Drosophila melanogaster: one gene and its partners. The protein of the gene in region 3 interacts with the protein of the main gene of each other region in a pairwise test. Each region holds a gene or a part of one and is shown on either strand. Other genes may lie near its edges.

Region 1 (7,733 bases), on a different chromosome or scaffold from region 3:
ACATATGTAAATATATAGGTGCATACTCGGAAGTACATAAAGAACTACACTGCCACATTCAGAAGTACCACATATTTACGTGACCCATAAAATATGAGAGCACTTCTTGTTGTCAGAATATTTCGCATTTTTCACAGGTTAGCTGTCAGCATTTTATTTTCACTCTATTCCAGTGGGAAAACGGCGGAGGTCAAAGTTTGCACAAGACAGTGGCTCGGAAAATATTCAAAAAATAATAGCCACAGATGAGCTTAATTTTCCACGCAAATGAACAGATCAAATTTGCATAGCGTATGGTACTTTGCATACCCTATAACCTATAGTACTGTAAATAAATATGCATAGTTTTAGCAGAGTTGGTTGATATGATATATACACTAATACTCACGTTCTTCATTCATTTTGATAGATTTTTATTTATTTTTTTATGCTGAAACTGTTGGCGTTACATGCATATCTATGAATTGTGCACTGACCCATGCAACTGTGCGTTTTTTTTTCTCCTCCTTTTTTGCAGAATGATGAAAGCCACAGCGTGGTTTTGTCCGGTGTTATTAACTTTACTGTGTGCCACAAGGCTCGTCTGCACGGCCCAAAGAGGAGCAGTTGGAGCAGGAGGAGCTGCAGGAGGATCGGGAGCGGCAGCGGGTGGAGCGGAGGTCGGCGGAAGCGGCCGCACAAACGGATATCCTCTGGACTACCCGGATGGAACACGGAACTCACAGGTGGGCATGGGCATGGGCATGGGCATAGTCCTGGCCATTGGTGTGCATTTCTTTCTGGCTGTCTCCCTTTGTGAGTGAGTGACAGCAGTTTTTGCGTCACTTGTTTGAATGTTTTCCGAATGCATATTCAATTATTGGCTCGGCAGTTCGCAAACGGGCGATTTCATCGCTCCTTTGACAACCTTCATTGGTTCCATTCACTCGGTTCATAAATTGACACATTGTTCGCCACAATGCGTTAACTTTTACAAGAAGCCAGAAAATGTGACCGCAAAGGGTTCCGCACAACCCTTTAAAACCAAATAGATTGAAAAATATCTCATACGCAGTTTATTTAGCGCGGATATATTAAATTGCTAAAAGATTAAGCTCTTATCAAGAGTTATCCATACATGGGAAGTACATTAGGCATTTTATAGTAGTGGCAAATCTTCATTCTCCGATTTCCTCGAAATCAATACCACATTATTGGTACCTCGATCTGAATTTTGGCCACAATCTAATCTAGGCACTTGACCAATTCGAATACCTCAATGTAAAACTTCTTCGGTCGAACAAAAAGATCGTATAAATTCCCAAACGCACACGAACATGGCAACAAAATTGATTTGAGTCTATGGGTTTTTTATGTTTTAAAAAACAAATGGAAATTTACGTCAAGGAAGAAAAAAAGAAAACCAAACATGCTGTTTGTCTTGGCCAACTCCTGTTGTCCACAATCAAAAGTTTTACCACTGCTTTTTAAGAAGTTCGAATTTTGTTAAGTTGATTCTTTATTCTGTATTCTTTATTCGCTGGAATTGGAGTGCGAGGCAAGTTCGTTTGCCAAATTGGAGATTTAAGCACGTAAATGCGAAGGACACGTAAACAATTTAATTTTATTTACTGAAAGAAATGAAATGATGTTTTATGATGGGGGCAGAATTAAAAATACAACCCCGAGGCGACGTTAAAGGCCAATTACGAAATTTTCCATTTGTACCACCATAAATGACACATCGTTGGGCACAAACATATGTTCTTTCGAACAAATGGGCATGTGTACATACATATGTATGTTTCGATAAGGGTCGATTGGCCAACTAATCAGTCAAGTAGCGATTCATTGATTGATGTATGTACGTCAATCAATCAGTTTATCATCGGCTCGCAACGCTTAAAAAGCCAATGTTCATGGTTCGGAAAGCGAAAGTTCAATTAAGTGATAAGCATTATAATGCGTTTAGAACCTTAAAGTTTTGAGTAATGTCATATAAGTAAACGTGACTTGGGATTTTTTCATTTTTCGGTTGTTTTAATTGTTCAGATTGTTGGAGCTATAAAACTAAATGGCGAGTGCGTGACATAATAACACGATGTGGGTTCATGAGGCTTCAATCCTAACCCTAGAAATGGTTTTACGCTCTTCTGGGAGAACATGTTAATAATTTAGCTATAACAGTTTAATATTTGCACCATATTTCGTTTTATAACGCTTTGTTTAATAACCTTGTTACTCGGAAACGCCAAATTTTAAACGATTATTGAGAAAATGAACCAGAAACCTTGGTAACAATGAAACTAACTTCCTAGACCGCTGAAGAATCGATAGTGGATTCTTCCGGCGCCTCACTTGTGGATTCTTCGGGAGCCTCGGTCGTCGATTCTTCGGGTGCCTCACTTGTGGATTCTACAGGCGCCTCGGTTGTCGATTCTTCGGGCTCCTCTGTGGTGGATTCTTCGGGCGCCTCGCTGGAGGATTCTTCGGGAGCCTCGCTGGTGGATTCTTCAGGCTCCTCGGTGGTGGTTTCTTCCGGAGCCTGAGTGGTATCCTCAGAACCGCTACCATCCTCAGAGTCGGTGGTGCTTTCCTCCGGTGCCTGAGTGGTGGATTCCTCCGGAACTTCAGGGGCCAGGGTGGTGGTGTCCTCCGAGGAACCGCTGCCTTCTTCAGAGCCGGTGGTGATTTCCTCTGGTGCCTGACTGGTAGATTCTTCTGGAACCTCGGGTGCCAGAGTGGTCTCCTCCGCGGGACTGGTAACATCCGTGGTGGATACCACATCATCCTCGGTGGTCAACTCAGGCAGATCCGTTGGTGGTGGTGGAGGAGGGCGCTGTCCACCGTGGCCTTGACCATTACCATGACCATGACTGTTGCCATGATGACCATGATGGTTGTTTCCGTGTCCGTTTCCTTGGCCGAGGCCTTGATTGTTTCCGTGAGATTGTCCCTGACCATTTTCGCCATCCCACTGACCCTGACCGTTGCCATTTGGATTCCACTGATTTTGGCTATTCCACCTCTGTTCCTGCACGATTTCATCGTCACCGGAGCCCCAACCGAACCTCCTGGCCCAGTTGCTGCCAAAATTTCCGAACCAACCGCCATTGGGGCGGCCAGAAGCCACTGCCACCAAGGCAGTGAAGAGGATAAGAGTTAGGACCTTCATTTCGCTATTGTTTCGATTATACTACCGGGTTCTGCAGATGGACATAGCTTTTATAGAAAGCTGATAACCACTTCCATTCACTGCCAGACATTTCGACCTCACACTGCCACATTCTTATCTAATCGCAGGTAACCTGTCTGATAGTCAGACCAACAATAATCGTAATTATCATATTTATCTGAACATGAATTCGGATTGGTTGTTTACTGTTTGCCCTGAACTTAGGATACGTAAATACTTCTTGGAAGGAACACCAACAAATAAAAGATAATATTTAAATTTTTCCAAAGAAGCACCTGTCCAGACTCTGTATAAATTTCGGGTAATTTCTTTATGATCAAGCAAAATCCAAATCCCCTTTTTCATGTGGTGTAAAGAAATTGCGATATGCGTTGTTGGGCGGATCGTAAAGTGATAGTATCAGGTGTTTTTTAACCGCCCCCCCAAGGTAATTGTTTTTGAATTTTATTTTGTGGCTACGTGTGAGTCATGAATTAGCTTGAAGTTTTCACACTTATCAGTGAAGAGCTGTTATCACGAAATTCCCAATTGATCATCGTGGAAAAAACGTAGAACAACACACCGATAAGCTTGCAAGATTTTGTGTAACGATAATTTCCCGAATTGTGGGAAAAACAAAAGGTGATATAAAAAATATGCGATAGCCGAGGCCCTTAAGATTGCTCACCATCGATGCTAATAATAATTTTAATTTCCATCAACAAACAAAACAAAAAAAGAATAAACTTCGAGCACAGAACTGTATATAAACACAGGGACTTAAAACTTTTTGCATTACCTCGTCAGGATTTTATTATGCCATGCGCTGGGAAACTTCTTCCAGCCAAACAGCGAATCTAACGTACTAAATATGTATGTATTTCGTTCTAGGATGACTTTCTGCTGGCCAAGAGGAACAAACCATCGCTGTCCATTGTCAATCCGCTGGATGTGCTGCGCCAGCGTCTGCTCCTGGAAATCGCACGCAGGCAAATGAAGGAGAACTCCCGCCAGGTCAGTCTCGTGTTCTGCAATATTAAACGGGGATGGCTGACCACTTGGCCAAGTATTTTTAATAAGCTGCAAAGGAGGGTAAAACAAAACTTTGGCTTCGTATGGCCCAGACAAACGGAGAACAATGCCGCGTCTTAAGGGGAATGAAAGTAGGTCGCGTTGCAAGGTATAAATGAAAATGTAGCGGGCTAATCAAAACTAGAATGCCTGATGAGAAATACTTTTCGAAAGCCATAAAAACGCATAAAACGCAGGTGCAGAAAGTTTTTTAATTCATCGCAGCTAGCGAATCTAATAAATTTCCAAAGGACCCAAATGGTAAGACTCTGTGCAGCCCACACACCTACTTGCTCCTGGAATGTAAACAACATCCTGGCGAACCCGAAATCGAGGCTTAAGCACATCGGATGGCCCTGACACCCAAAAATATACATACGTATATGCATGCGGCTCAGTGCCAAAAACAAAGCCAACATGGCGTATGTGTAACGCAAATATTTTTGCTCGGTAACAAAGCGAGTTTATTTGGTTACCAAAACGTTCCGATCCCCCAAAGGCGCACACACAAAGACAAAAAGGCCAACGAAAATGTTAAAAACAAAAAAAATCAAACGTTTTAATACGAGGAATTCAAACGATTTGCCTTGATAGCTTCACCTTTCCTCCCACGAATTTCCGTTAAAGAGGGTCATGTTCATCCATGGATGTGCCTATCCGCATGCCCACCTACCTATTCACATACGCCAGATAACATTATTGATTTGTCAAAGGGGTTTCATAAATTAATCCATGCATCCCGAAAGCAATCCGAATCGGAGAAAGATGAGCTTCAGCAGGCATAATGTTTTCGGAAAACACCTGGGTTAGACTGGCAAATAAAAGGGAAATAAAATGGAGTGAAATTAAAGTGAAATTTCAAAGAAACAAAATGAGGTTTTCAACGGCAAGCTGTCAAATTTAATACCACACAATTAAAGGAAAGTTACATTTAGAAACGTGTATTTAAAAGTTAGGATGGAGCTAGATATCTGAAATAGCATTCACCACTTGAATTTGAATGCAAACAAAATGAATCGACATACTTATTCACAGCTTAAAGGAATAGATCACGTTTCGGTTTGTGCACTATTCCCAGCAGATGAAAATAGACTTTCACATGGCCAAAAATATAAAGGGAAAAATGCAATGTCACCCGAACTTACGAGTTAGACATTGAATCCCCAGCTCAATGCAAACACCTGACTCTTTAAAAGACCTGCAAAGTGGTTGGCAAACAGAAAGAAATTTAAATAAATATCCAAAGCACTAGAAGAATGGAATTTCCAAGGTGTGAAAACTGCAAGTTGGCATTTACACTTAAATTGGATTTAAGCTAAACCGAGTATTAAGTTAAAAGATAGGAAAAGGTATAAATACATTTCCAACGATTAATCATCTTGGCTTTAAATATTAAAGTATGTTTTATACAAGCACCTGAGACTTAAAGTAACTATAAAGTAATTAGGCAAAGTATCTGGTGGCTTTTCAGTTTAGCAACTAAAGCTGCTCCTAAAGTATCTTAAAGTGCTTAAAATGTAATCGTGCCACATACCTCATCCTCGATTAATGTAATAACGCACTGGCATTTGATTTGTGATCCAAATTGAATGTGGTCATCCATCATGCATGTCAATCTAGTTTAGCTTTCCCTTTGCCGGGAAAAGTACATGGAAAATCCATGGGGATAAGGGAGAACCGGGCTTACCCCACTTCCATTTCAATTTGTCAACCATTTTACAGCAGTTAACAGCATTTTACTTTACTTAACTTTATGTGAACCGTGTTACCTTTCTTGTGTCCAGGTCGAACTGAATCGCGCCATCCTGAAGAACGTGGGCAAGAGGGTCGTGCTGCGAGGAGGAGGAGGAGGCGGAGGATCGGGAGCAGGAGGATTGGCTCCCAAGGTGAGCAGGCGCTACCGCCAGCAGTGGCCAGTGGAGCGGGAACTGGAGCGGGAAAGGCAGAGGGAGAGGGAAAGGGAAAGGGATGCAGTTCGTGAGGAGCAGCTGGACCGTCAACAGCTGCTGCCGTGGAAGCATTTCCCCAGCCAACTGTGGAGCTACGGATGGGCCCTGTCGCCGTACAAGGAGTCGTCACAGTTACAGTTTGCGGACTCCCAGCAATCAGCATCGACTGGACCACAATCCCAGGCACTCCCAAAGCAGTTGCAGTTGCTCAGCTATGCGAAGAAACCACTGGACGTGGCCGGAATGAGTCTGGCCAGGCATCGGGTCAGCGGAAATGAAGCCAACGAAACGAATCATGAGAACGACGATGGCAATGGGGCCAGTAAAAACCCGGCGAGATATGTGGATGACGGCGACAATGAGGGCGAGGATAGCTACAATGACGTGGGAACAGAAGGTGTGGGACTCGGCCTGGGAATGGGTGTGGGATTGGGTCTGGAACGGTTCGAGGTGCTGGAGGACAAGCCCAACTGGGCCAATGAGGAACCAAACGAGTTGGTGGTGGTTAATGCAAATGACCGCGTGCCCTGGTCCTTTCCCTACCGCTTTCACAAAAGTCAGCATAACGTTAATTAAGTAAGTAGGGATTGAGATGCAAACACAGATATACAGATACGATAAAGATACAGATACAGATACAGATGCATATGCAGTTACAGATATATGTAATACCGACACAGATACCGATACCGATACCGAAACGGATACGATGCGATAGGGGCACCCAACGGCTTCTGAGTGCTGGAAGGTTATTAATGCAAATCGACGGTTCCTAATGGCTGGCTACAAGGCAGGCATGTTGTGTGTGCACATACTCCCTTGATGACAAACTTACTCCCACGTTGCTAGATGTACTCGCATTTGAACTCTATTTTATCGAAAATAACCAACGGTGTATGTAACGATTTATGCTACCTCTCTCACAGATACTGTTGAAAATAAAGTCCCCGATTAATGTGAAACATACATAGATACCCATGCTAACGTGCATACTACTAGATACTTTACTCTAGATCGAAATGGCCGAAACTTTAGCCAATACACCAATGCTGCTAAGGATTATAAACGTAATTGCATGTATGCGTAATTGATAGTGATCTATGTGTAATTTAAAAAATTGTTTTAACGCTCGACGTTAATTAATCAATCGCATGCAATATTGACTAGTCAAATGGGATTTTCACGTTTTTATCCACATAAGCAAAACTTGTTTACCAACTATTAATTGTGGCTTACATTCTCCGCGGGCGGAAATCGGTTTTTATGTTCATTACGTTTGCTTCGTTGTGCTTTAACTTGTGCAAAACAAAACAAAAAAATGCTCAAATAGAATTAACATAGTGCCGAAAGTACTGTTCACACACTCTTTTCGTTAAAGCTGCATTTGGTCACTATTGAATTTGCGCTGTTGAAGGGTTCAAGTTTAAAGCTATCAGGCGACAAATGGTTCCAAATCATACGAGTAACGAGTAACGAATTACAAATTACGAATAACTAATAACAAATTGCAAATAACGATTTTAACGTAGATCAAAATCAGAAATATTACCCAAGCAAGT
Region 2 (8,350 bases), on a different chromosome or scaffold from region 3:
GATGGGTCTGCTTAAAGAAAGACTCGCACCATTGATCTTCTTTGGAGAGCTTTGGGCGTTCTGGAACTGATTCTACCTCGCAAAATACCTTAAGCAGCTCTTCGGAGTTTATTATGGCATGATTACATCGAATGTGGCGTGTAATATGCGTGTTGCCAACATTGCCTAACAGAACCCATCCGAGTTGAGTATTCTGCGCTATGGGTTCGTTTGGCAAGCCAATCTTAGTTCCAGGCAACAAGAGTTGTGCCATAAGGTCGGCTCCAAAAATGATATCGATTCGCTTGGATCTATAATAATAGGGGTCTGCGAGCGTGAGACCATGGATATGACTCCAGTTTCCTGCTGGAAAACTTTGACTTGGCATGTGTGATGTCAACGTGTTCAAAACATAAGCATCGTCGACCTTTAACGAGAAATTTGGGTTAGTTGCTGTTTGCACCGAACAACTTACGATGAATTTGCAGCGTCGTCCTGAATCTTGACCGACTCCGGTGATTGAAGTGCGAGTTGTGCTTCGGGAGAGCTGGAGAGACTGTACAGCATGCTCCGAAATGATAGTTGCTTCCGATCCTTGGTCAAGAAGCGCGTTTACCGTGGCCTGGCATCCTGTCTGTGTGTTACTGAGTACAACCCGAGCTGTTGCTAGTAGTACCTTTCGATGAGTCATAGATGAAGTTGTAGTTGACATGCACTGTAGAGTCGGCTTGGCATCTGAACTGGCTGCTGAACTTTGGCATGATGTCGAGGAGGGTATCAGCGTTGGCTGTGTTGCTGGAAAATGTAACATCGTGTGATGACGTTGACCACAATGAAGACAATTCTTGTTGCTGGGGCAGCTTGCTTGTGTGTGCGATTTTCCCAGGCAATTGAGACACAATTTTGCCTTGCTGGCCACTTCCTTCCGTTGGTAGCAATCCATTGAAAGAAATTGCGGACATCTTCGAAGTATGTGTAAGTTGCCACAATGATAGCAAGCGGACGCGGAAGCACCCGACCTGGTGTGGGCGCTGTGCACACGCACGCGTTTAGTACCGTCTGAAGTTTCATTTGACTGTTTCATGCCGCTGCACGCGTTACGGCTTTCAATAGCGTCTAACGTAACAAGTCGATCATTGAGGAACTGTTGCAGATCTTTGTATGAAGGAACGTCAATCTTGCTGCCCAGATGATGCTCCCAAGCTGTGTGAGTGTCTTTGGGTAGTTTGGTTGTTAGATAATGAGTCAACCAAAAATCTCCTCCCTGTAGTGGCGCCTTGACGGTATTGCAAGCGGCAATGCAGACGTTGACTGTACTAACCATAGACCGTATGTCAGCAGATTTTTCTTTCGAAAGATTCGGTAAGTTGTAGAGCATGTTCATGTGGCTGGCGAACACAATTCGTGGGTTGTTATATCGTTGTAGAAGTGTGGTCCAAGCGACTTCATAGTTTGCTTCAGTTAAAGCGATTTGGCGAATGTCGTTGTCCAGGCCTACTGGTAATGCTTCCTTTAAAAAATGGAACCTTTGAATCTTATCCAGACGCTCATTATTGTGAATTAAGCGTAAAAATGCATCATGAAAACTTGGCCAGTCCGCGCAGTTGCCAGAGAATTTCGGAACTGGTAATTTTGGCAGTGGTATCCGTACTTCCTCTACATGTGTTGTTATTGTAGAGTTAGCTGATTCGTTGTGCGTCACTGTGCCTGGATAAATTCGTTTCTTTTCTTCGGCCACGAAACAGTAAACTTCCATGCCCAGGTCTTCGAATTGGCTGATTGTATTTTGTTGCTTATACACACTTTCTTCGTAGTCTGCCATGCATATAAGTGTGTGATGCGCCTGATGAAATTCTTTGTTAAACTCGTCGATTTGATTCAAACGTTTTTCGAAATATATTTCCGTTTTCCGCGCACTCGAGTCTTTTTTCACATTACTGAACAAGCGCTTCAAAGACTCAATGCGGTCAGTTTGAACTCGCACCAGTTGATCAAATTTCGACATTGTTTATACTGACGTTGCTCCACTGTATGTAATATGCACAAATGCTCGTATGTTATCGGTGTTCTTCTTTGACGTCTTGTTTTTTGAGTTGGCAGAGATTCCGGCAAATCTAACGGAATCGAAGGGCAACGGGACTTAGCTCTGTCGTGATGAGAGCGAGCGCGAACGTTTGCGTATACTGCTCTGTCGTGATGAGAGCGAGCGCGATAGAAAACGTAGGCACGGTGATTTATCTGGATGAAGCCGACCACGAAGATAAAATTGCCAAACAGCTTTTAGCAATTATTAATTATGATTCTTATGAGCAAGGTTCCCCTCATGGGCCACCAATGAATAGTTGTGATGCCTCACTGCTTTGACATCATTGTAATGGGGTTCGCAAATAAGAATCATATATACACTATTTAACTTCATTTATTTCTTCATATACAAAAATCACGTCTGATCGCTATGACCGCAAAATTACAATGGAGAAAGAAAGAATACAGTTCAGTTCAATTAGCATCGATATATAAAATGTTAATCCGCTGTTAAGACAGCTGAAGCACCGGGTGACTCCGCTCATAATCCGTACACCCTTTGATATTTTATATTGGGTGTAGCTTGAAAATAGCTAGTATTTCCGCAGCCCCAAAAGTAGGCATTAATTTGCTTACAAATCTATTCATCTAATTAATCTTCATCCCCAGCATGGGCTATGAAAAATCCAAAACTCAAAACCAGTTTGATTTAATTAGATATAAATTAGCGTTGCGTGTGGTGCAGACAATGAGTAGACAAACTGGATCGGTCTTGGGCGGATATTGGGCCGCTTAGCCGGTGCAATAAAATGTTAAAAGCCAGCGTGTATCGTCTTAAAAACCGTTTAACCGTACAAATGTGAAGCTAGTTTGGCGCCAGATAAGTGGCAAATAATTTTATTCGAAAATGAAGGTAGACAAAGGGCACAGGTTCTATTTGTGTGTCGATTAAATGACAATAAAGCTAGTTAATGGTGGAATTTGAACTGATTTGGAAAGGGTTATGAACCAAAAGTGGTCACTTGGATCTGTACACATCTCCTCAGACAATAGCGGTGGCATGCGTTGGAGTGGGAGTCACATTGGCCGTCTCATGAGTCTGGGCAGGAGTATAGGTTGTGGCCGTGGCCGGATCGTGAGTCTGGGCGGGAGTATAAGGTGTGGCCGTCGCATGAGTCTGGGCGGGCGTGTAGGAGGCCGCCGTCTGATCTGGTTCCTTGTCCAGGATCACCTTCTTGAGGATGAAGTAGAGGGCTCCACCAATCAGCAGCTCACCTACCGCTACACAAACGATGAGAGCCCATCCGGGAATAGCAAGGCCAGCTGCAAGAAATAACAATGTTGAGCAATATCGATCACGTATACGGCATCACTTACTGAAGTATCTGCGGGTAAGGGTGCGTCGTCCGCGGTTCACACGTCGCGTGGCCTCCGATTCTTGCAGGCAGCAGGCCAACAGTACTACAGAATAGAAAAGAATATACAAATTTAATATTTGTTAGACATAGTGATTCGTCCGAGGCGCAAAACACACATCATACACATTTTTTCAATGATCACGCGGCGTGTGGTCGAAGGTGGCCTGGTAAGATTGCGGCATTGGCTTTGAAGCATCCATCAAACCCAAGCCAAACGGAACTCATTGAAATAACAGCAAGACCATTCATCATATAGATCTTCAAATGCGCGAAGACTTGTTAAGATATTAACAATTAATCGTTGAGAAAATGTTTAACAACAGAGCCGGGCCAAAATCAACAAAAAACGCTGATTCTGATTGAGCCAAAATAGCGCGCGCGCGCCAACTTCTTCGATGATAAATGTGAGCTGGCATATTCCTTCCCCATTGTTCCATTGCGGATGTCAGATTCGATTTCACGTAAAATTATCAAAATGTATTTTTAATTAATAATATTTTATGTGTGTGTTCGTTCAGCTCATTCGGCATATTTTGCGTATGAAATATTAAATGGATTTGTTTGTCGATATGGAAAGTGTATAGATTTTTCCTCGATTCGATTAGTCGGTGATTCATGGAGACAGGCATTTGACAAAACCCATCCGCCAAATGTATGTGGCTAAGAGTGCGACCGATTTTCGTTGGCCAACCGCTAACCAATATTAATTGTTTTCATTCACTTTTTTGTCTAACATATTTCATAATTTATATGCGCAATAATTATGCCACTTCCGGTTTTAGGGCATTGGACTTTTGGCCTAATAAAAATTGCATGAAATCAAAGGAAATGATTTCGCATTTACTCACTGCCAGCTAAATTATATGTTTTATTTGGGATACCTTTCAATCCAAAAAGATTTCCCTCTGAACTCACTGATTCACCACGCCCTAAAGTTAAGCACACCAAGTGATGGGGCAACAATGAGTAAACACAGTGCTTATCTGAATCGCACTGATAAGCACACATTTTTGTAGAGTTTTCTTGTGCCTGATTGTGTGACGCACACTTGGCCCAGTTACTCATCGTTAGAGTCTCCAATTGCTGAAGTTGGGTTATTAAAACCCCACACCTATGGAATCATACGGATGCATCAGTGCATCATAATGCGTTAAAGTCTCACACATGCACAATACTCCGCCCACACACATGCACCAAAAAGTATCTCGCCGGTGTGCTGCGTATCTCTAGTTGGCACTCAAAACTCGGCAGATTCGAACGAGCATGCAGAACTTTACCCAGGCATATCACCAAGTAGGTGGAGCACTTCTTAGCCAACTTCATTTCCGTCGTTTTCGTCGGTTCTTTCGAAAAACTTATGTTCGCTTTTAGCTGTTAGCCAAGTTTGTAACGCGCACGTCGTCGACTCCAAAGTGGAACTAAAAACCTGTGCGTGATTGCATTCGTCGGCAGGTGCTAGTATCTTATCTCAAAGCACCTTATCTTTCATTGATAAGATTAGAAGGCTCTCTTTTCTCCCGCTATATATTACTTCTGAGGTCATCAGCACTGAAAAAAATAGTTTCATTTATGTTCAATCTAAAATGTCTCCTATATTTCTAAGCCTAACATGTTCAATATGCAAAATTCGTTGAGTTCAAGTCCTTACACAATATTTTATATCTGTACTATCGAAGGACAATAAGAGTCTTCTTTATTTATTGCCCATTTTAAAAAATATTTTTATAAAATCTTTTCACCAACTCCTTCGACTTTATAAGCTTTATCCCAATCCTAGGCATATTGTTTAAAAGATAGTTCGAATATTTAAAAATATTCTGCAAAAAGATATAGTAGTTGTAGGATATTTGTTTTAAAAATGTTTATTATTGTAAGTTCGGGTTTGTACTCGGGTTGTTCATAGTGGATTCAAATTGACTAATACGCTCGACTTATTGTTAGTTTCAATCTGAGACTGTCAAAGTCAGGACTTCTTCTGGAAAAACATCCTCGAAAATCTCAAATGCTGCGGTGGGAGTTGGCGCAATCGGCGGCTTAGTGGCGACGGAGCTTCAGACGACGGACGGTCTTGTAGCGGTAGCCATCGCTGGCCAGGACGGTCTGCTCGGCGGGCACATCAATGATGGCAGAGGCGGTCTCCTCCACGGGGGGCAGGTACTCGCCGGAAGGCAGCTCAGAGACATCACGGCGGCGACGGATCACACGACGCACGGTCTTGTAGCGGTATCCATCATCAGCCAGGGGAGTCTCCACAGCAACAGCCTCGGAGGCGGACTCCTCAACAGGGGGCAGGTATTCAGGGGACAGCTCGGAGACATCACGACGACGACGGATCACACGACGCACGGTCTTGTAGCGGTATCCATCATCAGCCAGAGGAGTCTCGACGGCAACGGCTTCGGAGGCGGATTCCTCAACAGGGGGCAGGTATTCGGCGGACAGCTCGTTTACATCACGACGGCGACGGATCACACGACGGACAGTCTTGTAGCGGTATCCATCAGCAGCCAGAGGGGTCTCAACAGCAACAGCCTCGGAGGCAGACTCCTCAACGGGGGGCAGGTACTCGCCGGAAGGAAGCTCATTGACATCACGACGACGACGGATCACACGGCGGACGGTCTTGTAACGGTAACCATCATCAGCAAGAGGGGTGTCCACAGCAACAGCCTCAGAGGCGGACTCCTCAACAGGGGGCAGGTATTCAGGGGACAGCTCGGAAACATCACGACGACGACGGATCACACGGCGGACAGTCTTGTAGCGGTAGCCATCATCAGCCAGGGGAGTCTCGACGGCAACAGCCTCGGAGGCGGACTCCTCAACAGGGGGCAGGTACTCAGGGGAGAGTTCGGAGACATCACGACGACGACGGATCACACGGCGGACAGTCTTGTAGCGGTAGCCATCATCAGCCAGGGGAGTCTCGACAGCAACAGCCTCGGAGGCGGACTCCTCAACAGGGGGCAGGTACTCAGGGGAGAGTTCGGAGACATCACGACGACGACGGATCACACGGCGGACGGTCTTGTAACGGTAGCCATCATCAGCCAGAGGAGTCTCGACGGCAACGGCTTCGGAGGCGGATTCCTCAACAGGGGGCAGGTATTCACCGGAGGGGAGCTCGTTCACATCACGACGGTGGCGCAACTTCAGGCGGCGCACGGTCTTGTAGCGGTATCCATCGTCGGAGAGAACTCCCTGCTCGGCGGGCACCTCCACGAGTTCGGAGGCAGATTCCAGGTTGTTGTCCACTGGCGGCAGGTAATCCGTGGCAATGGAGGCCGCCGAGGCAGCTGCGATCACAGCAAAGGCAATGACAAAGAATTTCTGCAAGGCAATAAGCGAAGGAGAGGGTTATGGGTTAGTCCTGGTCGCAGGATGACTGCTGGAGAACTAACCATTTTTCCAGAAGATCCAAGACGATGTCTGCTAGATTAATCCAAAGTTGATTCTGTTTTCAAACCAGACCCAACGACACTATTTATACACAAACTGCGCGAAAAGTTCTCGGCTGACCGATGTCCATTCACTTTGCGAGATCAGATGAACTGAGATGAGCTATGATGATCGCTGAGCAAACCGGTTAACAAGCGGCGAACTACCGCATCGATCGATGGCTTCTTCTACTGGGGCCGAACTCAGATTTGGATTGTCTAGTTGCTATTGTCAAAAAGTGTCTCAAGCACCAATTGAACTCTGGCTGGCCATATAAGATGATTAGCGCGGCCAGCTGCCAGAAGACAAAACGAAAGTAAACAAAGACGAGCCGGCGAAGTCCGCAGATTTGTAGATATTTTAGATTTGTAGATTCGTAGGCAGATGGAACAATGGTCGAGGGCTCTTCGATTGTCTCGATTATTTGCATCGATTTATGTCTGCCATATGCTTGAATAGATCGGATACATTTGTGACAATCCATTACCATTGGTAATTGCAAGCGGAAGTCGCCGCTTTTCAATGTATTTTTGGATGCTCTTGCCTCTCGGATCTCGATGAGCGCTTAAGGCCAAGATCGGCCGAAAGTATTTATACGCCATCTCGATTGATACGCGCTTGATGGTCCATCGAGTGTTGCTATTTTTGGTTTTTGCTCGCCACGCTCCATTAGGCGGCTATAAATAGATGAATGATTTAAGAGATCGCCACTTTTCCAATTTTTAATTTATATTTTTAAGCCGAAATAGCGTAGATGCTCCAATTGAGCGGCAGGCAAGCCATAAATCTTGCGGATAAGCTGAAATGGCTTGGCAATCTCCCACTCACAGCGTGTTCGATAGTTCGGAGGAATAGGAATTCATTCTGGCGATGGGAATGTATGATGGAGCACCACTTGACGATGCCAATGGCATTGGCTTGGCGGGAGTGTCGAGTGCGGGGCTGTCTGTCGAAAAGCGTTTGATATGTAGATGGGTTATAAGAATAGAATGGAATGTGCTTTTTATAATGCTGAAACGTGTTCAATTGGTTAACGTTAAATGATTCGTGTATTACATCCTGTTGAGCCTTGTGTTGTGTGTAAATTCTTCGTAATTCGAATTTAAACTGCGCACGAAACACCGATATCTTTCTTTCATTAACTTTATTTCCTGGCCATCTCAAATCGGGGAAAAAAACGGTCTTAATTTCAAATATATTCACACAGCGCTTCGTGGGGCTTTAGGCTTTCGTTTATTCATTTGTAAATGGCGCACATAAAAAATATATCCAGCCAGGCTGTATACTACTACTGTGCATATTTAATTTATATCTGGCAATCAGCATCATCATCATCAAAATGACACTGCCCCTCCAACTTGCCACATTGCCCCAGGTGAATACGGAAATACGGAAGGAGGAGGGGTCCCAAAAAAACAAACAGGACGGTGCGCTTGCGGGCTTCCTGGACAGCGGAATCAAACGGAACAAAATCAAAATACATATCTGCA
Region 3 (7,743 bases):
TAAAAATGGAGAGCCATTAGATCGGCGATCATGATGCGGTATCGGCTACTGGGCTACACTAGACTGCAAAATAAAAGTATGCCTTGGGCTGAAATTTATAAAATGATTTTAATAAGTATAATTTTTGAATAATTGAATAAAATATATTTACCTTATTATAAAGACTTGCTTAAAAAAGTCCTTTTGTAATTTTAAACAACCCGTTTTTTTTTAATATATATTTAAGTGAGCTTCACCTAAATGCCCACACAGCTCTTCAATTTGCATTCATAACACCTGACATTTTCCCACTGTTTTCATGAGCTGATCGTATCCATTATCCTGAGGTAATGAATCCATTGTTACAGAGTGTCATCTATATAGTAAAGTAAATCAGGTGCTCCATCTGGGGGCGTTTGCTGGGCACAAAACAGCCGACCTACGTGGGCCCACAAAGCGTACGAAACCGAAAGTTGATGCCGGCATAATGAGGCCCGAGTACTGAGGTGAGTTGAGCCACCACCCGAGCCACTCTGGCCCACTTTGAACCACTCGGAGCCACCCCGAAGCGCCCAAGCACTGGCCATTGTAAGCTGGTCGCTGGCAGTTTTGGCAATTACATCTGATTATACGAGGCAGCGGCTGTGGCGAAGCTGTGGCTCAGAATCTTGGATGGGTATAAATAGTCGAGAGTGGCTGCAGTGGGGCATTAGTTAGTGCACGGCAGCTGCGGAGATGCAAACCACGATTACAACGCGACGACTTGGCCTTCTCGGTCTGCTGGTGGTGCTGGGCTGCATAGTCGCCCAGGGCAAACCACATGGCTGGAGCAGTGGCGGCGGTGGTGGAGGCTGGTCCTCTGGAGGATCAGGTGGCAGTAAGGTCATTATCAGTGCTTGGCCTTCCAGCGGCGGAGGAGGTTGGTCCTCAGGTGGCGGATCTGGAGGATGGAAGAGCGGTGGTGACGGCGGAGGCGGCTGGTCATCTGGTGGATCAGGAGGTGGCTGGAAGAGCGGCGGCGGCTCAAGTGGCTGGAAGAGCGGCGGCGGCTCAGGTGGCTGGTCCTCCGGTGGATCCTCCGGCTGGCCAAGTTCCGGCAGCTCTGGCTGGAAGTCAGGAGGCAGCTCGGGATTATCCAGTGCACTGTCCAGTCTCTCCAGTTGGAAATCCCAAGCTTTGGGAAGCTTAAGCAGCGGTTGGAAAAGCGGCGGCGGTGGAGGTGGCTGGTCATCTGGTGGTTCCTCAGGCGGCGGCTGGAAGAGCGGCGGTGGATCTGGTGGTTGGTCCTCCGGAGGGTCCTCCGCTTGGCCCAGCAAGATTAGCAGCGGTTGGTCCTCTGGTGGAGGTGGCGGTGGTTGGTCCCCCGGAGGAGGCGGAGGCAGCGGCTGGAGCTGGTAATCAGATCCTGGAAAGAAAACGGCATCCATCCGAGAAAAATCGGCGACGAGGCGACACCACTATCCACTGCTCAACCTGTACATAATAATTCTGCCCTTAAATTAACCATTTTTTTTTTTTGTGTATCTAACTATGTGAATAAATCTTACAAGAAAGTAATTTTATCCCACGTTTTTATTTTTATGGGTGAGTTTATTCAATTATTTATAATTTAAAAAATGAATCAAGAAAATTAAGGGAAAATTTTTGTTTGAAAATGTAAAGAGCTAGTATGTATAGTAAATATATTTTGGGCGTATATTATTTGCCATTGCCGCCAACTTTTTTAATTTTTGCATCTAAATTAACTATTTTTATTTCTTTGGTGAAAATGATACAATTTTTGCAACAGATTATAATTTTTCATATAATTTTACTTCCCCGATAATGTAGTAGATAATGTAATGTGCCCCATAGAAAAACAAATATAATTACAAAATGCATAAACAAGATTTATTAGTATAAAAAACATTAAAAGCAGGAAAAATTGGGCTTTCGATAGAAGAAAAATAGAAGAATCTAGGGATTGTCTCTATCTCTATGCCATGGAACACAAGTCAGCATCAGACGGTGGATTAGCTGCTCCTGGTGGTTTGATTACCAGCCACCGCCATGTTGTTTGCCACCTCCACCGCCACCACCACCGTACAGGCCACCACCACCTCCTCCGCCGCCTCCGTTCTTGTTGCCTCCATTTCCGCCCTGCCAGGACACGGAACTACCGCGATTGCCGGCCAAGGACTTGCTTGCATGGCCACCGCCTCCATGACCGCCGCCGCCATAACCTCCTTGTCCTCCGTGGCCACCTGAAATGAATATACAGGTTAAGAAAAGCATTGTAATCTTGGATTAAACTAATTGAACTTAATATTTACCTTGATTGCCACCTCCATAGCCTCCTTGTCCACCACCTCCTCCGTTCTTCTGCCAACCTCCTTGGCCACCGCCTCCATGTCCACCTAGAAGGCAAGTGTATATAAATATTACAGATATCGTAAGCCTTAACCCTAACATCGGTAAATTATACATTTTAAATATTAGCTGACAATTTTTTAAATGAGGTTATAAATTACTCAAATATTTATTATGTACATATTTTCTAAATGTTTTGACCAAACATTTGTATGCTGAAAGCATTTTAACTATTTACATACCATAAAACGTTTTTGTAAAATGAGTTTTTTAGAACCAATAAAGTATATTATAACAAAATCCATTTCATTATTAAGTTATTAAATCAAATTAGGCATAGAAGTAATATCGGATTATAGTTAGTATTAACTATAGGCATATCCCAAATATATTCACTTGCCTTGGCTACCGCCTCCGTAGCTTCCCTGGCCGCCACCTCCATGGCCGCCTCCTCCGTTCTTTTGGCCACCGCCGCCGTAGCCGCTCTGACCACCACCACCACCGCCGTAGCCACCACCACCACCACCGCCGTAGCCACCACCACCGCCTCCACCGCCCAGCAAACCGGCTGAGGTTAAGGCGATCAGCAGGCAACACACGAAAACAAGGATCACAGCGTGACGCATCCTTAGAACTCTTTAGTCACTCAAAAAAATATAGTAAAAAAAAAGATTGTTAGACCGACTTAGAACCGCTGTGTAATCACTGCTGGAGGCTCAATATTACTGATGAACTAACCCAGAATCGAGGCACCTTTTTATAGCTCCGAAAGGCGGAAACTTCGGCTGAGTCAGCAGCCTGCCATCCCTTCAACTCCAAGCTGGAGCTCCCAAAGGAAGGTTAAGAACTGCACTTCATGTCGGCACAATGCGGCAAGCGGCTGGCTTCACCAGCAACTTGTCTGGTTTAAAAAAGTCTCAAGTACGTCGGCGCACTCGGCGGATACGCAATGTGCGCTGTCTGGGAACATCGCGTATACGCCACCGCACCACTTGCAAACTGCTGAGCCATGGCTGCATCATTAATTGCCAGCGCACATAGCACATTTGGCCACGAAACGCCTAGCAATTTGTCTTACAAGTTTACTATTTCTATGCGAAATTCTAAGAATATTTGCCTTTTTCATTTTGCGCCATCCATTCAATTTGTTGTTGAATTTTCTTAATTATTATTTTCAGTCTTGCCGCTTGGCAGGTTTAAGTAAAGTTTGGAATTAATGGAACAAATTTACCGACGCTGTAGAGAATCGTTGGGAATCGTTGGTATATATTAACTATTCTTACGAATGTATTTAATGTATACTAGGCTTACTCCCGTATTTTATTTGTTTATTCAATGCAAACATATTTTAATAGGTTTTTGCATAAATAGAGCTTAAACCTTCAATACACGATATATTGTTTATAGCTTGTCGGTAATTTAAGACGTTACTTATTTGAATATTTAATCATATTGTTTACTACTTCAAACATTTTTATGGATATTTAAATCGACCAATTTGAATTTTCGCAGAGCATTAAAACGGTGCTGTTAAAAAGGAAAAATGTTAATATAATTTTCATTTCGTACTTATGTTTAATTTCGGCTTCGTTTCTCACTACAGCCATGCAATGTATGCGGCGATTAATCTTCATTTATACAGCAGCCGCAATTGAATCGCCAAATGGAGGAGACACGACTCCGCAGACACTGGTTCAATGTCAATTGGCGTGCAAACATGGCTGGCTGCATCGCTCAAGTGCATTACTTACCATAAATTTCATCAACTCCACCGTGAATGTGAACATATTGCTTTTCTTGGCTCCCAACGCGTGCTGCAGATATGCGCAAACAACATTTGTTTAGTTGGGGGCTTAACCCAGAGCCAAAACCACCGAGCTTAGGAAAATTGTCTGTACAGTGTACAATTTTAAGTTGGAAACTGGCAAAGTAAGCTACAAATGCATATAATTGATACCAATAACCAGTAAAATGAATTATTATAGACAAAATATTATACAAAGTTACAATTAATTTCAATCCTTGTCTTATATTTTTTAAATATTCCGTTACAATAATTAAGGTTCATAAGAAGACACTAACAAGCTGGTATTTTACATTTTCATTAAAAAATATAAATATATATAAAACATGTCGTTCCGTCAAAGATTATAAAATCCGGCCTTCATTTTTATATGAAACCGTTTGTTGTTGAAATAAGGGAAGTTCTCTGTGGCTTTGATTAATGTATAAAAAAATACAATTTTATCTATGCTTGATTTTCTTTCTTAAGAAAGTTTACTTTATAGTGATTTTAGAATGTAACGATAATTTTTTTCATTTCATATTATAAAGGTCAAATAACCAAAAGCTGAATTAAATAAATCATTTAATTAAGTCCCGAAAATTAAATTTTATGCTTCGTTTTAATAATAAATCGATTCGCAAATATACTTGACATTTATATTTTCATAAACCTAAAAGTGTAACCACAGTGCCTCCACCTCCAAATGATGATGATGATCTCCGCTGAACTCCAATCGCATCACCACCTTGGCCACCAAGACGCTGTTCCACAATCATTTGCGCGATGCATAAAATATTAATAACTGCTCAGTCAGATATATAGTCGGCTCCCAGGCTTAGAATGTTAATTGCTAACGATCCATAATTTAAAGATGATGCATCATAAAAATGTTAACTTTATGCCTTTGATTTATTCATTTATTTATTTGTTACACAAAAAAAAATGGTACTTAAAAACTATGTTATAAAATCGGGTGGATTGTGAACCAGGTGCGGAGAGAGGGGATCGGGATTGGGATTGTGCTTGGATTTTTCGTCTCCTAGAGATGGTAGCTCTTCGATTCTTTACCACCATCCACTATTGGAGCTGGAACTGGACCATCCATTGCTGTTCCATCCGGAGTTGCCGCTGCTCCAACCAGAGTTTCCACCCCATCCGGAGTTGCCGCCCCATCCGGAGTTGCTACCCCATCCGGAGTTACCGCCCCATCCAGAGTTTCCGCCCCATCCGGAGCCGCCGCCTCCTCCGATCTTTATGACCTTGATGACTTGCGGCTGCTGGGCAACCCAGCCACTATTCCATCCGGAGCTGCTGCCGCCCCAAGGATTCGATCCCCAGCCCGAGGATCGGACCAATCCGGCCGAAACACAGGCCACCAGTGCGCAGAGTACAATGAATACCTTCATTATGTGTGGTTTGGGATTTTAAGCTTTTAGTCCTGACTCGGAGAGTAGATCCTGGTTTGTTTTGCTGTGCGTCTCGAAGTGTGGCACTCGAATGCTGTAACCACTGGATCACCACTCGCTATTTATCGCAAAAATAACTGGCGAACTGCAAACTGCGTGGCCCAGACTAATCTGGACGAGAATCCACAAAATAAATCTCCAGTGGCGGGTGGCTGGGCCAGGCCAGGCCCGGCCCGGCCAGGTCGGGTAATTGCAGTTTATTAAACCACTTTGAGCGTCCGATTCTTGACCAGGGTCAACTGGGTCTGCTTTACAAGCAGAGGCAGAAGCCACAACTGGGTAGCCATCAAGCCAAGTCAGCCAACCATGTGGCAAAGTTGCAAAATTCGTACATAACTCACACGCTTGATGGATCATTTCCTCGCCTCGCTGCTGGCGGAAACTGCAGCAGAGCCTGCACTGCGAGAAATAACTAGACGTTTGGAATAAGGGTTGAATATAAAGTAATAAAGGTGTGCGTGAAATTTGATAAATGTTATGTATATCATCCAGACTATAGTGTCATCACGCTCTTAAAGCTAACCTAGCAAGGCTTCTAGAGAAATATCTCTAAATTATCGGTATTTTAAACAGTGTTTTGTGCAGTCTAGCTTTAAGCTTAAGCTGAAACCGAGAAGTTGGCGTCAGGTGAGTCATTTGTCAAACTGGCAGCTTAAGCCGCAAACGGAGACACTTGCAGATAGTTATGAAGACGGAGATGGAGATGGAGATGCCGATGCAGATGCAGATCCCAAGTGAAGGGGGCAAAAAAAAAAAAAATAACTGGATTTTGGCGATGACATTTCCTGATCCTGACAGTCAGCCGAAGGACAAGGGAAAGCCCCGAACAAAACCACATTCAATGTCTACGTGATGGTTGATATGTGTATTTAAATTATAACTTGGGCTATAAACAACAAGTTTCTAGATCATAGGCTGCCATTGAGGTCGGTAGTTAACTTTTCAGCTATAGATATGCAATTCCATCTAGGACATCTAGGCCATTAAAGTGCTCTAGAATTCCATGTATCATCGATATTAGCGAGAGATGAAATCATCACTTCCCCGACAACATTCACCAACTAAGGCGGCTGACCTCAGATCGCTATAAAACTCATCTGGACACAAACACAAACCAGATGACATCCAATTGCACTGACAGTGCAATTTTCCCACTGTACCTGGGCGCCACTCGGATAATGGCCAACAAAAAATAAAACAACTCCAGTCAACAGTCAACAATCATGAGCTTGGGGCAATGGCGACACCGCGGCCTCTTTTCCACAAGTTATTTATCTTTCGGTTTTCTTCCACGGAGTATTATAATTTACCTAGTAATTTGTGACAATAATGTGTTCGTACATTATTACCTTGTCCACGCGCCGAAATAGGAATCAATTATTACAGTACATGTGTGAACACTTTTAAAATGAACCCTGTTCTATTAAGCGGATAATATAAGATAATGCATTCCACACAATGTAACTATTAGTGATTACCATCTTTGTAGTGCTAAATTAAAATTGTTGAACGATTTAAAGCAAATAATTTAAGACTAAGCAATATGGGTTGGTTTATTCATATTTATTTAAGTATGCTTATGCCTTTTACCATTATCCTTCGTTATCACATATGTAGGGTATTCCAAGTTCGTGAGCCTGCTGCCTTTTCCGTTTGGGCTTTGCATAAGCACAGTAAACACAAATTTAATTGAAATGTCAACGCTTAGAAGGCAAGTTGTGTATTGCTTATCGACCGCAATCGGTTTGAGCCAAAAAAAAAAAACAAGGCTTATTGCTAGCTTAGGATAGATTATGGGAATGGTGATTTGGAGGATATGCCCCTTATCCTGAGAACCAGGAACCCGGCTTCCCCGTGGTTGTGGTGCTCGGCACCTCAGTGGTGCTCGTGGACTCGGGACACAGGCCGCAATGCTCCAAGTGGGCCGATCGCACAACGGAGGCATGCATGCCGAACGGTGCGGAGGCGCTGACCTCCAGGAAATAGTTGCCCTTAATGTTTTGCGGCACCGCATATCCCATGGGCACCTCGTCGCCCGGACAGCGGAAATCGCGCAGTTTGGATATCGAATTGCAGCGAGTGGCCATGAAGTTGCGCTCATTGCCTGGGAAAACGGTTTCCGCAAAATATTCCCAGGATCGGGCATGGGCACAGGTTACCGAG
Region 4 (7,277 bases), on a different chromosome or scaffold from region 3:
CGGTCGCTACAGAGGGGTCACACAGATACACACCCATACACGCACACACTCGGGCACTAACTGACATGCTAAATATTGCATTCATCTTGTGCATTGTGTCCATGTGGCAAATAATTATGGCATTAATATTCCTATGCAAATATATGTGCACAGTGCTTTGTTCGCCATATCTCGGCATCCGTGAGATACAATCCGCCTGTTTGGCTTCGGTGGCTGGGGGTCGGGCAGGGCATGTGTTCATTAATACAATTATGACCGCAACAGGCGTGGGGCATAAACACGACTTCAATCCCTTAGTGAAACCATGCACGAAATATATTTATACTCAAAAAAATTTCTTTGAATTACAGAATTCAGCTGACCTAAGAAATATTCCAACTTGCATGCTCTATCTAAAAGCCACCAAGTAGCTTTAGTTTTGTTACAAATTTCCTGATTGATCAATATAAAATTCATTATAACATTAAATTTTGTAAGATAACGAAAAAATAATTTTTTTTCCATTTCTAAATGTGTTTGAAGAAGAATTTAGACTACCTGCTCATAAACAGCGGATTCTGACTACGAACCCAACTTTTTTCCCTGTGCACGCGATATCCGCTCATTTTTTGGCCGCCGAATCGGTGAGGTAAGCTCCATTAGTGAGTTTTGTTTAATCGCATCAGCCAGCCGAAAATCCAAATCAACGGCAGCTGCAGCAGCGGCAGCATCCTCCGGGCAGGCCGAAATGTATAATCAAGCAGGTACAGACTGTTAATGGATCTAATACCCCATATCCCGTATTCCCGGACTCCGTGCTCCATTGCAACAAAGACCACCCAATGGCACCCCCTTCTAAGCACAGATTTGGTTCGCTCTAATGAGCTCTGCGTGCAGCTTAAGGGCAACTGTAGCACGGCTGCTTCTATTTGCGGCACTTTGGCAATATGTGGCTAAAATTACTTGCAACTGCCGGCGGCAGGGTGCAGATACATCACCACCAGATGCATTTTAATTGGAATACCGAAACAGCGAGTAATAGCGCACATCGAAAAAAAGAAAGAATAGTAGGGCAAACAAAAAGGCGGCGACTGCCCAATTAGAAGCCTATTAGTGGTAACCACCACCCCAACACCACCCTCTTCCAATCGGAACTGCTCCATTGTTGCTGGCAATTTTACCAGGACGAAACAGAGCGCCCAAAGCGAGACAACAAATTATGCCAAATGGCTAATGAATAAATATCCGCAACCAGCACTCTACTCCCGTCCGCCGGATAGTTGGCATCCTTTGAGATGCACTAAAGAAAATGGAAGAGTGCCTGTAAGCCTTAATGATAAAATAAAGAAATCATTTTGGAAAAATATTCGAAATTCATTGAATATATAGTAACTTAAATAACTTGCAGGAATATATAAAACGCGAATTTAACATATAATACAAAATCATTTGTAATATCATTTAAAATTATTGTATTTTTTTGAAAACATTTGTGGTTTAAAACAATACAGTTGCACTCATGTTTCTTGATTGCAAAAAAGAATCTTTCTACAGACATTTCCATATTTGCAGCTTTTTTTTTTAATATACACAGCTCTATGATATAGGTTACAATGAGGTAAACGATATTAAAATTTAATTTTTTCCCCCTTTCTTTATCCTCTAGTTAAAAAACGTATTTATCATTTTTATTTGCCGCCGCGTTGAAGTTGCACTTATGAGAGAGCTCGGCGAAAAGCGCACACACGGGCAAAAAGCGGCAAATGCAGTTTTGTATATCGCTCGGTGCCTGTGTAATTGTATCTGTGTGTACTTTGTGGCATGCCACATAAACTTGATGCTGCTGCTGTGTGATATTTTAGCATTGAGCAGCTCTCAATCCCCCAGCATCGCATCCCGCAACCCCCTTCGCTCTCGGTGATATTTAAATCCTTGTTCCTACGCAGGGATAGCTGTTACGCCGGCAAGGACTCGACTCAGTTGGCTTTTGTATGCGCATTAATGCAACGACTCTCATGTTTATTCACACACAAATTTGCAGCGAATACAACGCACAGAGACTGCGGTGATAGCGGGATGCATTCACAATCCCACACAGAACCCCGGGACTCGGATACACTCGCACTTGGCTGAAGCAATCTGCTGGCAAATGCGCTTTACATTTTGCACACGCTAATACAATTTAATGGTCGCATTAATTTGGCGCATCTGTTGCATTTTAAAACACGCACACACAGCCACATCATGTACGAACACCCACACAGTTACGTGGATAGACTGGCACACAGATGCACAGATACACAGATACACAGATACACAGATGCACAGATACATATACACGTTCAAGGAGCGGCAGGCAACCGCAGGATACTTTGCTCACTTTGTTGTCGGCGGGGGAGGTTAAAGCATTTGCCAACTGCAAATAAAGTTGCGCTCAGCTAAATATTAATTCTAACCAAGTTAGGGGAAACTACTTTAATGGCGGGGGCGTGGCAGCCGCACAACTGCTTAATCCTTAGCTCTGTGTAGTAGTCGGAATGAAGATTGAGATACATGCGCTCGGCACCAGACAAAAAAGACCTGATATATGCCACCAGCAGGCAATAACCGTTTCACGTCTTCTTGTTTTCGCCAATGAACGCTTAAACTATTGGTGCACCGAACAAAAATACTAATAGAAATAGGATCGCAAGTATGTTGATAAAACAAGTTTCAATATTTTAAACACAGATAAAAAACCTCTTAATATTTATAGTTCAACTCAGTTTTTTTGACAAAAACTTATATTAGTATTTGTATTAGAAACTTGATCGATTCAAAACACGTAGGACGACAGCCAACCCTCTTCATTGGAATGTCAGATGCGTGGGAAGTTTGTTATTGCTGCCAATTAGGTTGCCATTCTGTTTGTGCCAATGTTTGCATATTATTTCTGCCCAATTTGCATTGATGCAATATTGTCCATGTCCCGCGCAGCGCTCCCCCCTCCCCCCCCCACACCTCGTTCCACTACATGGCGGCGTCAAATGCAGAAAATGTCAAAATTTAAATATTGAAAGTGACGTTGGCGTACAAAAACCCCTCGTGTTGCGGGCGTTGCACTAAGCGGATAAGCGCTTGTTAAATTTTTAATGCGTTGCATAATTTTTAGTTCGGTGTGGATATTTTGCACACAATATGTACGTACTATATGTTCGTATATTTTAATTCGAGTGGCGGATGCGAAACGCAGCATGAGTGCTGGCTGCATTTGAAATGAGCCGCATGTGGCGATGGCCGATTAAGCCCGGTTTAGAAGCTACACATTCCTCATTTCGCACTCGACAATGATCCATTTATTTGCACTGTCAGCGATGGTGCGGGAGGGGAAAAAAGGTGAATGGAAATTTATATTAATTATAATTTTCACAGCCATGTCTTCCCATCAATTATCAGAGTTTGTCCGACGGCTCAGTTCTCTTTTCAGCTCTTTTCTGCTCTGTGCATTTAAATTTTTCCCCTGCAAAGTCCTTGATAAACATTTTTCAATTAATTTTTATTTGCTGCCGCCGACATTTCTTTGTCCACACACGCGCATATATTTATGTATCTTGCTGCGTGCACATAAGCAACAGCAACAGCAAGTTGACGGCAGCAACATCATCGCCTTTATGTGTTTCACGTATTTCTTTAACGGATTTCCACTTGTCTCACTTTTTGAGAAAAACTTGTCGAGATGGCACTCGCATTGTCAAGCCCACTCACACACAGACATTCGCAGATACGACGAGTCAGACAGAGAGAAAATCTTACACGCTCGGGAATAAAGGAGAACGGGCAGCAACGGTGCGTAAAAATTCGTCCTGGAGCAGGGAAGCACTTCAGATGCGTTAGCCCAAAATGCGGGGTTTGATAAACGCAAAAAATACTCAAAATAAAAGATATAAAACGTTTAAAAATATAAATTCAAATCTTAAAAAAAGATGGCTTACCTGTTCTGAAGACAATGATTTTATTTTAATTTTGAAATCAAATTACCCTTGAGTAAGATATCTCAGAATCATATTTTATCGCATAGAAACAGTATCGTGTCAGCAGAGAACAAAACTAACAAAAAAATGTTTAGCCGTTTCCTAAAACCAAGCCTAGTTTTATGTAGGAGTGTGAGCAATACCGCATCCCTTCGCTACAAGGATCCCATTTATCAGATTTTCCTGGACAAGGTGCGCGAGTATCGGCTGAAGAGTCCCAAGGGAAAGCCCGTAGATCCTGGTCCGGAATTCGAGGCGGAGCTGAAGGAAGTCACTGAGCGCCTGGCTCTGCAATACGGCGGCGGCGAGGGCGTGGATATGCTCGAGTTTCCGAAATTCAAGTTGCCCGATATTGATATTGATCCCATTTCGGTTGATGATCTGTAAGTTACAGTTAAATTGGAAAAAGTTTTTATAAAAATATAAATATTTACTTAGACCAGAGAACCAACCAAAGCCTGAGAAAAAGAATAGAGATAAAGAAGTAAAGGCCAAAGAAAAGGGTGGGGAAAAAGAAGTGAAAGCCAAAGATGGCAAGAAAGCTGACGAACCAAAGGGCAAGGATGAAAAGGACAAGATAAAGTAGATCATCACTAAAAATAATCGTTTTAAATGTTGTTAAAATTTTCGCACAATTCTTAATACTTTAAAAATTATAAAATGTTTATGTTAAAAGAAAATGAATTTAAATGCCTGCAGATTCGAGCTACCCGTTTGTAGCTGTTCCAGGATAGAGCCGAAAAAAGAACGCACCGAAATTTTTATTAAGCACATACATGCATAAGCAGCACTCACACACACCATGCTTTTACCATGTTAAGTAATTCCTTAAACAACACAACAGGTCGCCGCCATTCGCATGGCCTTGTCCCTCCCCTTGGTCCTTCGTCCTTTGGCGCTCCCGCACGCCCCATCCCACCCACTTCCATTTTTTCCGTGTAACTGACGCTGAGTGGCAGACACACAGATACTCACACAAGCAAATTGAATTTAATGCTTTCTGCTGTTGCTCTTGATAAAACGATGGCAAGCGAGAGGAGGCAGCGTGTAAAGGACGAGCGTGGGAGCGAGAAAAACAAATCAAGAGACGTCGCGAAGGAAATACAAGCCAAACGCACAAATAAATACGCACAAGTACATAAATTTAAATTATTTTCGTGGCCTGGCCTCGCTTTCATTTATGCTTTTTTATTTTATTATGCCGCTCCGCTACAGTCGGCCTCAAGGATCCAAAGATCCAAGGATCCGGCATTTGACTACGGTCCAGACGTCCTGGCACACTTTCTGAATGCCATACGAGTGTCTGGCAGTGCGGTTGTATCTATACCCGTTGTATCTGTGTCTATATCTCTGGTACCGTTGCTGTTAATCTGTATCTGTAGCTCTGTGTCCTGTAACTGTGGCAGCGCATCTTCAGCTGTCTCTTAGCGAACTATGCGCCCGCATCGAGCAAACAACTACACCAACACACCGAAGACGTCCTTGGTCCTTGTGTAAGGCATGTTAACTGGGATTTGACAGCTCGTAAATAATATTTCGCTTGTTTGTTGGCTCGGTACAACGAGAGCAACGTCTTGCACAAGGTTGAAACAAAGACAGTGGTCTGAGTTCCCAACTTTATCTTTTTGCCTAAAACAAGGTAATATTCTTGTATTAAACCTGAGGTTTTATACATTTAAATGGCTTCTAAGTAGTTCAATTAAAATAAAATTAAAATATTTAATAATCTCTAATCACAAAGGAGCAGCGTTTAATAATATCATATTTCCAATCTTTGGTAAATCTAAATTATTACAAGAAAAACTGTTTTATTTAATTATATGCATATATTTTTTATCATAACTTTTTTCTTCTCATATCCGCTCATTCCTTGACATTTTCAACCACTGTGACCTATTCGATGGCAGCCATGTGAAAACGAGAAACGCATTTCATTTTTAAGCTGCTCCTTCTTGGCTCTGCTTGTTAAACAGTCTTTTTACATGACATGTGTGGGCGGTGGTTGGTTGGTTGGTTCATCCGGAGAGTCAGATTCTGATTCGAATGAGATGCGGTGGCTGGATGCTGGCTGGTTGCTGGCTGTCCTGGCATGTCCCGATTTTTCGGGACCAGGCCGCCACTCTCATTATGCGCACTCTCCTCGTTGCCGGCTTATTAAATTTTCATAAAGCACAGGCGCTCGTAAAAATTGTGCTCGGCCGCTTTTAAGCGCAAGTGGATTAAGATTAAAGCTTCAAGGAATATGACTTCAAAGGCGGACGAGCCGTAATTAAAGCCATGAAAACTGTCCGCAATTCGATTGCCGAAAACTGAATTAAACTGCGAACTCGACCGCCCAAGAAATAAGAGAAGTTGGGAAGTTAAGGAGAAACCAGGAGAACTGGAAACCACAGAAGGACTTGGGACTTCACCCACCGGATCCGCTCAACTGGAAGAAGATGATGGCGATGACGAGGCGGTGAGAGATATCTAAGGTCGCTTTCCCGCTTTTCTGAACCACACACAGACACATGTCTGTGGCTCAAAAATATATGTGGATATATATATATATATATCTGGCCGCTGGCTGTGAGAAAAGTGAAGCATCTTGTGCAATGTAAACGAAACGTAGCCGATAAAAATAATACGAGAGGCAATTTCGATTTATTGACAGGTGCTCGACTTTATTGAAACGTTTAACTTGAAAACCGATGCGAAAGGAGGCTCGCTCCATACATATAGATTTATGTATGTAGTAAGTGAGCACATGCAAAATTGTGCAAAACGATAAAAATTATGTGAATTTCGTTGTGATTTATCGCTGTGAGCCGGGGCGGCGCTTGGGTTTTATGTGCCCAGATTTATGGCTTCTTCGCCTCGCCCAGGATGTGCATTCGAATTTTGGACAAATTTAATTACACTTTTACCTTGTGTGTCTTGTGCGGATCAGCCACGCACTATTTGTCATTTTGTCCGAGACCCATAAATTCCGATGTGCATTTAATTTTGCCGAGCCGCACGTACGCATCAATGCCTGGGCATTATTTAATAATGAAAATTGAATAGTCCTAATTCAACCTGATGACAAAGTGGGTCCAGGTGGATATCTATGTGTGTATATGGTTTGGTATGTGAGTGTGTGCAGGACACGTGCCACTTGAACACATACGCACTAACACAGGATATACGGGATACACAGGACGCCCCTCCAATTGTGGTTTTCCTTTTGTCGCTTCCGTTTCCGCATAATTTTTGCAAGCGGAAAACTTGAGAGCGCTGCGCTAACAAAACATTTGTTAAAACGGAAGA

What was found.
Region 1: the proteins of CG5172 (region 3) and Fst interact in a two-hybrid assay, tested with the Drosophila melanogaster proteins (one large-scale study listed by BioGRID).
Region 2: the proteins of CG5172 (region 3) and hoka interact in a two-hybrid assay, tested with the Drosophila melanogaster proteins (one large-scale study listed by BioGRID).
Region 4: the proteins of CG5172 (region 3) and ATPsynCF6L interact in a two-hybrid assay, tested with the Drosophila melanogaster proteins (one large-scale study listed by BioGRID).

What each region holds. Positions count from the first base shown.
Region 1 is NT_033777.3:9,642,974-9,650,706, forward strand, and holds Fst (frost), read right to left. Parts: upstream 3,182-7,733; 5' UTR 3,155-3,181; coding exon 2,294-3,154; 3' UTR 2,005-2,293; downstream 1-2,004. Other genes in the region: Dh44 (diuretic hormone 44), read left to right, coding at 519-725, 4,046-4,168, 6,010-6,750.
Region 2 is NT_037436.4:4,895,392-4,903,741, reverse strand, and holds hoka (hoka), read right to left. Parts: upstream 4,843-8,350; 5' UTR 4,746-4,842; coding exon 4,700-4,745; intron 3,466-4,699; coding exon 3,382-3,465; intron 3,328-3,381; coding exon 3,047-3,327; 3' UTR 2,873-3,046; downstream 1-2,872. Other genes in the region: CG13705 (uncharacterized protein), read right to left, coding at 5,457-6,752, 6,824-6,826.
Region 3 is NC_004354.4:17,216,758-17,224,500, reverse strand, and holds CG5172 (uncharacterized protein), read right to left. Parts: upstream 3,060-7,743; 5' UTR 2,955-3,059; coding exon 2,729-2,954; intron 2,376-2,728; coding exon 2,292-2,375; intron 2,223-2,291; coding exon 2,014-2,222; 3' UTR 1,999-2,013; coding exon of another isoform or gene 1,955-1,998; 3' UTR 1,850-1,954; downstream 1-1,849. Other genes in the region: CG34327 (uncharacterized protein), read left to right, coding at 715-1,377; CG12998 (uncharacterized protein), read right to left, coding at 5,179-5,520; CG5162 (uncharacterized protein), read right to left, coding at 7,404-7,743.
Region 4 is NT_037436.4:5,008,895-5,016,171, reverse strand, and holds ATPsynCF6L (ATP synthase, coupling factor 6-like), read left to right. Parts: upstream 1-4,038; 5' UTR 4,039-4,076; coding exon 4,077-4,372; intron 4,373-4,427; coding exon 4,428-4,575; 3' UTR 4,576-4,728; downstream 4,729-7,277.